Xenopus tropicalis: one gene and its partner. The protein of the gene in region 2 interacts with the protein of the main gene of each other region in a biochemical or structural test. Links are inferred from orthologs where the notes say so. Each region holds a gene or a part of one and is shown on either strand. Other genes may lie near its edges.

What was found. The genes of interacting proteins can lie anywhere in the genome.
Region 1: the proteins of ranbp2 (region 2) and rangap1 form a complex in vitro, tested with the Homo sapiens proteins (5 studies listed by BioGRID and IntAct, with this or other methods). The link is inferred for Xenopus tropicalis from reciprocal best matches to the Homo sapiens genes RANBP2 and RANGAP1.

The regions. Positions count from the first base shown.
Region 1 is NC_030680.2:121,811,100-121,815,319, forward strand, and holds the start of rangap1 (ran GTPase-activating protein 1), read right to left. Parts: upstream 2,948-4,220; 5' UTR 2,920-2,947; intron 2,612-2,919; exon of another isoform or gene 2,378-2,611; intron 556-2,377; exon of another isoform or gene 518-555; coding exon of another isoform or gene 501-517; coding exon 386-500; intron 100-385; coding exon 1-99. UniProt on the Homo sapiens protein: GTPase activator for RAN. Converts cytoplasmic GTP-bound RAN to GDP-bound RAN, which is essential for RAN-mediated nuclear import and export. Mediates dissociation of cargo from nuclear export complexes containing XPO1, RAN and RANBP2 after nuclear export.
Region 2 is NC_030678.2:109,295,021-109,298,707, forward strand, and holds part of ranbp2 (ranBP2-like and GRIP domain-containing protein 4), read right to left. Parts: intron 3,550-3,687; coding exon 3,412-3,549; intron 3,200-3,411; coding exon 3,053-3,199; intron 2,093-3,052; coding exon 1,925-2,092; intron 1,064-1,924; coding exon 980-1,063; intron 672-979; coding exon 533-671; intron 1-532. UniProt on the Homo sapiens protein: E3 SUMO-protein ligase which facilitates SUMO1 and SUMO2 conjugation by UBE2I. Involved in transport factor (Ran-GTP, karyopherin)-mediated protein import via the F-G repeat-containing domain which acts as a docking site for substrates.

The DNA of each region.
Region 1 (4,220 bases), on a different chromosome or scaffold from region 2:
TGGCTATTGCTTTAGCTGCCTCCAGTCCCACAGTGTTGCCTTCCAGCCGCAGAGCATGCAGCCCTTCAAAATCTTCAATTTCCCGAATCACTTCTTCAGCTAAATATTAATTTGTTTAAAAAACAAACTGCCATTATAAAGGAGCCCAAATACTAAAAGTTACTCTTGTTTCAGCCACATATTTACATTTAAATATTTACTACTTCCCTGCCTTACTTATTCAGCTCTTTTTTATATTATTCAGTATAAATAAAAACTTACACTTAAGATGGGTGTATCATCCACGTATTCGGATAGTAAAATAGTAGTGCATAAAGCTTGCTTTATGCACATAAATAGTGTTAGATAAGGTAAATAAATGTATCAAATACATATATAGTCTCACCATCCTGGGCAGTGTTGAGTTTCAGGCTTTTCCCTTTAAAGCTTAGCTCTCCTCCTCCCTCCACCTTTGTCTTTGCCAGGGAATCTGTCAACTGCGCAATATCTTCAGAAGCCATTGTCACACTTTTTCTCTCTTAATAAACCAGAGAAATAAGAAGTATAACCGAGAACCTGTTGAACAGGTAACACATCCCTAAGATTATTTTAACAATGTCATGATCTTAAAATAAATTGGGGTGGAGAACAAGCCCCATTACAAATGCTGTCCAGCCACCCTGCTATCCTGTTCTTATAAAAAAAATGCTTCTTCAAAGAAAATATAATTTAACGTTCTCCCTTATGATTATTTATTTCCTGAGTGTTCCTTGTGTGGGTGCATGAAAAGTATATCAATCATCAAAGTGAACTGTGCATGCATCAAAGCTGCAAACGAACACAAGTGCCAATGTGGAAGAGAAAGGCAGTATAAGAATCCACTACTGTGCATGCCCTGCCTTACCCCAACTCAATCCCACAGAATATATTCTATGGGAATAAATTCAGAAAAGGTATCTGTGAAGGTTCTCATTCATCCAGGTCACGGTATATATTGAATTTTCGCTAGTCATCTGACTGGCTTTCTCAATTGAGAAGTAAAACTCAGAAATTTTCAGCCATATAATCTGTGGATGTCCTGTAAAATATATCCTTGCAAATGGTGCTTACTGATGCCATTAGTTATATTAAGTTTGTATGTTTAGTGAAGTATTTGTGTCACAAAATCCACCAAAACTCTTGTATTATAAAATATAATAAAGCTACCTTCTGTCTTGTGATTTTATATGGAACCAAGGTGACTTCTAATAACCTTGTAACGTAACTACCGGAAGTACATAATATAATAATCAATAAACAAAAGAAACCTTAACATGAATTGATTTTCTGGCTTTGGGGGGGGGGGCAGTTTGCCATTAAGCTAACTATAGTACAGTGTCATTTTTATCTATTTACAGTGTCTACATTTTATAGCTTCCTTTTGCCTCCGCACCTTACAACTTTCAAAGAGGGTTAGTGATAAAAAATAGCAGTAAGGGCTGTGAATCACAGGGAGATTAGTTGCGCCGTGACAAATCTCCCTTTTTGTGGGCGACTAATCTCCCCGCAATGCCATCCCACCAGCTAGAATGTAATTCGCCAGTGGGATGGCATACGTGGCAACGCAATCTGGTGAAGTCGCCTTGAGAGGAGACTTCAGTGACTTCGGCCATCCCACCAGGATGTCACGGCGTGACTATTCAGTCCTAAGGGTGAAGCTACTAGTAGCAGCTTTTTAATTGCTACTAAAAGCCAGAAAAATACCCTGCCATAGACAATACTGATAATTGCCTCTGCTAAAACACACGTAGAGACTGTTCTCAGTAAATGATCAGCATTGTCTGTTTTAGTAGCCATGACAAGTAGCTGCTACTAGTAGCTCCGTCTGTGTTCACCCTAATGCTACAATTATTACTTATCTATTCAGGCCATCTCCTATTCAGGTTCTCATTCACACATCTATGCAGTTGTTAGGACTAGGCCACACGAAGCGTAGATGCGCTTCTCTCAGCTCTGCGTTTTTCCATCAGACTAAGTGAAGGGGATCCACTTTCCTACGTGCCTGCACTAAAAACTACAAAACCCGCTTCAGTGCAGCCCCACAAAGCAGAGCAGAGTGTATGTCCGCAGGTAAAGTGCTGGCTTTCACACTGAATGAAATGAAAACATGAATGAAAATCATAACGTTATACAAGTTATTTTATAGGGGAGCTACCCCCGTGACTGAAAAGGCAAAGTATAATTACAAGAATATACTTATTTAGAATAATTACACTTTTAAATCACATAATGTTCATGGTCAGCATCTGACATGACAGTATTTAAAATCCTAGACCAGGGGTGCCCAGACTTTTTCCCTCAGCGGTCTACTTTTGACTCCTCCCCGCGTACGTATGCGACGCAGCGTAGCTACGCATACCCAATAAACGCGTCGCACTTCTGCATTTCCCGGCTTAGACGCGGTCCAGCAGAAATCCATGGGGGATCGACCGGTGGACCGTGATCGACGTTTTGGCCACCCCTATCCTAAACTCTCCAGTTAAAGAGAAGCAGAAAATCTGAAGAGGCCAAGAGGGTACATAACTGGGGGGTGATACAGCCCTCTAGCTGAGCCTGAACTACAACTCTCAGCAGCAGGTTTTCCTCTGATGACTGAAAGTATCTAGTAGTCACTTACACATTTCCCTTTTAGCAAGTAAGTGACCCCACTGGCGCTTAGAGCCCAGGGCAATGCCCTTTCGCCTCCCCCTCCCACATGACGAGGCCGGACTAGCAAATCTATGAATGACACATCCCGCCAAAACCACGAGGGTTGCGGAGAGCGGCCCCCCGGCTGTCAGGGAGCTGCAGGCTTCGGTAGGGATGGCAAATGTTAGGGAACCCGCATGGTCTTTGCCCTACACTGCTATCATACTGCCCAAAGTCCCGCTTTTGCTAACACAGCCCCGGCTCGGTACTTACAGTCCGCAAGTACAGCTTCCCAGTCGCCGGTCTCTTACTCTCGCCAAAATCTCGCGAGAATTGGTCACGCCTGCGCGGAAGCGCAATGACTCACCCATTAGTCTCCCAGTGGGAGCGACAGGCCGGCAGAACTTTGTGTTACAATGTCGCAATTAAACTCTGTACTTCCTCTGCCCACACCTCCTACTTCGGTTAGAGAGCATAAATAAAAGACTTGTCTTCTGTGTTGGTTTTTCGCCACGCCTTCCTCCGCCCCAGCTACCAATTCCTTTAGAAGTCGTTCATATATTTTGCTGAGAGGGTACAGAAGGAGCCTTTCCTGTTTGCTAGCAGAATGTGCCGCCATCAAAGCCTTCTCTCCTAAGTTGATCAAAAAAAAGGAGAGGCGCAAACTAGGGCCAAGTAAATTGTCATCATTTTATTTTTTTATTCCCCATTTATTGAACTTTATGTCAGTTACAGTAAAATTATCACAGGAAGATATTCTTTATGAAGAAATTGTAAATCTATGCTTATATAATCACTTAATGATCAGTAATGGTTTATCTAGAATTGTCAGTGACGCACTGATAAATGCTGAACCGAAAAAACATAAAGGTGTTAAATCCTGTTAAATAAAAAAAATAAATATAAAGAGGTTTACAAGCTTATCATAAAACAATATTTATACGTTTGCATATACAACTTCTAATCTATGCTAGTATTTTCATTAGCTGAACCAGTAGTCATAATTATTTCCATAAATCGTACTGGCTGATCCAACACCATCCGACAAAAGCGCTTAAAACTAAGGTTAAAGACTCCCTTTTGGAGCACTCACCCAGCACCTGATCTGGGAACTGGCACTTATACTGTAATGTCACCCACTGTGACCTACAGCACTTATATTTGCCTATTTGTGTCTGTAAGTTACCCTCCCATATAGATTGTAAGCTCTACGGGGCAGGGACCTCCATCCTCTTGTGTCCTTGACTCTAACTTATTGCAGCTGTATTTATCTTGTATTTATTGTTATACTTTGTATTTATCTATTATTATCTTATTAACCACCTGTTTGTATTAATGTATTCTACTGTACAGCGCTGCGTACATAAGTAGCGCTTTATAAATAAAGATATACATACATACATTATGCAGTTTATCCCCTAACCATCTCACATATCTGTTTCACCTGGTTCCAGAAGGGAATTATTACTGGGCAGAGCAGCCAAATATGTTCTCCATATTCTCCAGACCAGCCAAATATGTTCTCCAGAGCAGCCAAAGTTTCCCATCTCTGTTTCACATCTTCATCAGTTATC
Region 2 (3,687 bases):
GATCCTAATTACAGAAAGGTCGCTTATCCAGTAAACCCCAGGTCCCGAGCATTCTGGATTAGGGTTCCCATACCTGTACCAATCATGTTCAACTGCACTTAAGGTAAGGATATGCCTGCTATGGCGAACAAAATTCATGCAACTGTTCCATCATAAACTTTAATGATAATAACCAGACCCTTTGTCACCTGCAAAACTTAAATTCATGCAGGTGAAAGATTTCAACCCCACCTTATTTCTTTCTGTTGTTAGATAAAGCTGTATTATTTCCTGTCAAGTGATCACTGAAAGAGCACACAAAACATCAGAAAATGGTAGCTTTAAGGGGAAAAGATGTAAAAAGGTCACATGTACAGATATGTACATGGCAATTTGGTAAGATTATTTATTAGGGCACTTATAATATAAATTATCTGTTGGTTAAGTATTCTTTCTGAAAGTATAGTTTTCCTTTAATTCAAAATCAAAACAATGTCAGGGAGCCTTTCACTGCCAAGCAGCATACAATAATGAATAATATGTTATGCCTCACCTGTTAGGGGAACTGTATAGAAACTTTGAGTTCCTTGGTAGCCATCAGCAACACTGTCAGGCTCAAATCCTTCATTAGGCCATCTATGAGGGGAAGCGTTTGCATTCGAATTGTTGTGTTTCAGCTCTTGAACTTCTTTCTTTAAGACAAAATAACAAAATATTAAAAGTAAAAGTGTACATCATATAAATATGTGTATGGAATGCAGGAATGGTAGCTGTAGAAAAAGCAGAAACTGTGACAGCTGAAGGTATAGAAGTTATTAGGCTTAACACCATAAGTTCTATGCAACAGGACTGGAGGAAAGCCACATAAGTGTAGAATGTAATTTAGGGCCACCAAGCATGAACAAAGCATGTTAGGATTGCATGTAGGCACCCTTAAGTGGCACTAGACAGTAAAAGCTTTGGTTACCTTTTTATTAAACAAATGTTAACCTCCCCTTACCTTCAATGCTTCTACTTTATTACAGAGCACTTCAAGTAGAGATTTTTGATCTTCTGCCCAACGTGGTGGCGTTTTGGGAGAAAACTAAAAAAACAAAAATAAAATAGTTCAGTTTTTATTATCACTACCTTCTTGTTTGACAAAATCAGGATTTAATTGTATACTTTCTGTTCCCAGCTAATTTTTTTTTGCATAGTTTTGCATCTATGGAGGCACAGATTTTCCACTGCTAATGGGCTGTAGTTGCCTTGGGCTGCCATGAAAGCTTTAAAAGAACATCACATACTGGTACATAAGTAGTTTGAGTTAAATTGTAACCAATTAAACCACCTTAATTTACCCTATTTCTAAAGAATTTTAAGAAACTGACTTTAGAGGTAATTTTGCATACAGTTTACAAATGTTAAACAAACTGTAGGCATCTAAGGGCACAAAAGGAACCCAAAACCAGCTGCTGGTTCTCGGTTATTAATCAGAATTGCCAGCTAATTATGGATATTAATTGCAAATCTCCAGCAATACCCTACATATTAATATACAATTTAGCTGTATAAATTATTGGGTTTATTAAGCTTTGCAATATATTCACTCTTCTCTTAAAGGGGTATGTTAGCCCAAAGTATAAAGTTGGTGTAATCGTTCTGTGCCTTGCTATGAATGAAATGGCATTGCAGCCCATGACATGAGCATATCCCTTGCAAACATGTGACTCATATGTGCAAAGCCACTACCCTTAATTCAATGCTCTCTACCTCACTTCTCCCTGACACCCACAGCAAAGCCACCAGAAGAAATATCCTGAGCAATTAAGTAACAGGACAGTTTCTCTAGCAATTTGTTTCATCATTGGCTTCTACATACACTTATATGAAGCAAATAAGACTGTATTCATTGACAAGAAAAGGTAGATAATCAAAATTCAGCTGCATTTTTTTAATAAAATACCCGAGTTGGTTTGCTGGGCGATATGGACAGCTTGGAGGGTGATGGTGTGGAATGTTTTATTGCTGAATGATTTTCCACAAAGCCCAGGCTACGATCTTCCATCGCTTCTCCAAGATTCTGCTTCACTGACTCCAGCATCTCAATCACAGTCTCAACTGGAACTGGCAACTGTAGTAAAACAAAATATTACGGTTTAACAATTGAGAGTGAATTTCTGCTTGCAAATATCTATAGCAATATCAAAGAATATTTATTTCCACACAGTAAAGGCATCGGTACTATGACAACAATGTTAAGTATAAATATACTTGACTGGCTTCTACTCTAAATAATCAGCCACCATTTTAAAGATTTAAAACACAACTACAGTATTTACCTGCTACTGAAGTATTACAGTATTTACCCACTACTGAAGCTTCTTAGGAAGCTATCTGGAATATACAAGACAGCATTGAAAGCATTTTAGTGAAAATGTAACTAACTTATTTTTACCTTCTATATGCATGACAACACTACTTTAGGCCTCACTGCCATGTTGTGTGCTCAGCGCTATATTCTCTAGATCACATTAAAGACAAACAAGACCTTGGTGTGAATTGTTAAGAAATATCAGCAAATATACAGAAAACACTATGTTCTGCATGCCAATTGGTAAGGTCATCTTTAAGCAAGTTGCCTACTTCATTGGTGGACCTTAACTAGCTGTTCAGAGACTTTAGCCGTTGGGCCAAGTCACCAAAGAAATGAGTTAGTTAGAGCTGGATTATGGTATTACAAGGACCAGTAAGCACCTCAGTCATTATAATTGTGACCAGCCAACAGGATGTATGAACAGCTCTGTGTCTTTAGCCACACAGATAATCTAACACTTTGATGGAGAAAGGCCAAAGCCTTGTTAATATTTACCAATGTCCATAAAGTTGACATCTTGCTCTAAAACTCAAATTTTTTGTGTGGTTTCAAAAAACTTAAAACGACAAAAATCAGAATGTTGATAAATGGGCCTCTCCGGGTAATTTAGGGGACTAATGGATAAACACTAGCAAGTATAGACTTTATCGACAGAACTATAATATTATATCTAAATAATATCAACATATAGCCCTTTTATTCAAATTGTCTTATTACCAATGTTGCAATGGAAGGATCAGCATTATATTCATCACAAATCATTTTCAAATAGCCTTTGCACTTAAGCAGGCACTCCTGGAACTCTTCCTGTTCTTCTGCTGGCAAACAATCATTTTCAATTTCTTCGGCCTTACGCTGGTATATCTACAAAAAAAATTACAAGAATAGATTTCTATTTCATCAGGTTAAAAGCAATACTGTGTTGATAATATCATCTGCTTCATTATAGCCAGCACATCAGTTCATCAGCTACTTGTGATAGTTTTTTCATAAAATTAAATTACATATAGGCAATTTTAATGTAAAACAGAAGTGTGTCAAACTAAACACAGAAGATGCAGAGTAGTAACACATACCAAAGCAAGGTTCCAATAGGCAACAACGTTCTTAACAGCATCAAATGCTATTATTGCATCCTCTGTTTTTCCGTCAACTAAATCCAGTGTTGCAAAGGCAAGGCATGCGTCATCTTCTAAGTCTTTTACTTCAGAAAGCTAAATGAATGATAGCAACTGTCAGAACTGTTTACTTGTGCCAAAAACCAGGCCACTGGGGTTTCTAATAGTGCAGGAGTATGTACAAAATACATGTAAAAAACACAGTAAAGTAGTTTTTCTCCCATCTTTTGAAAA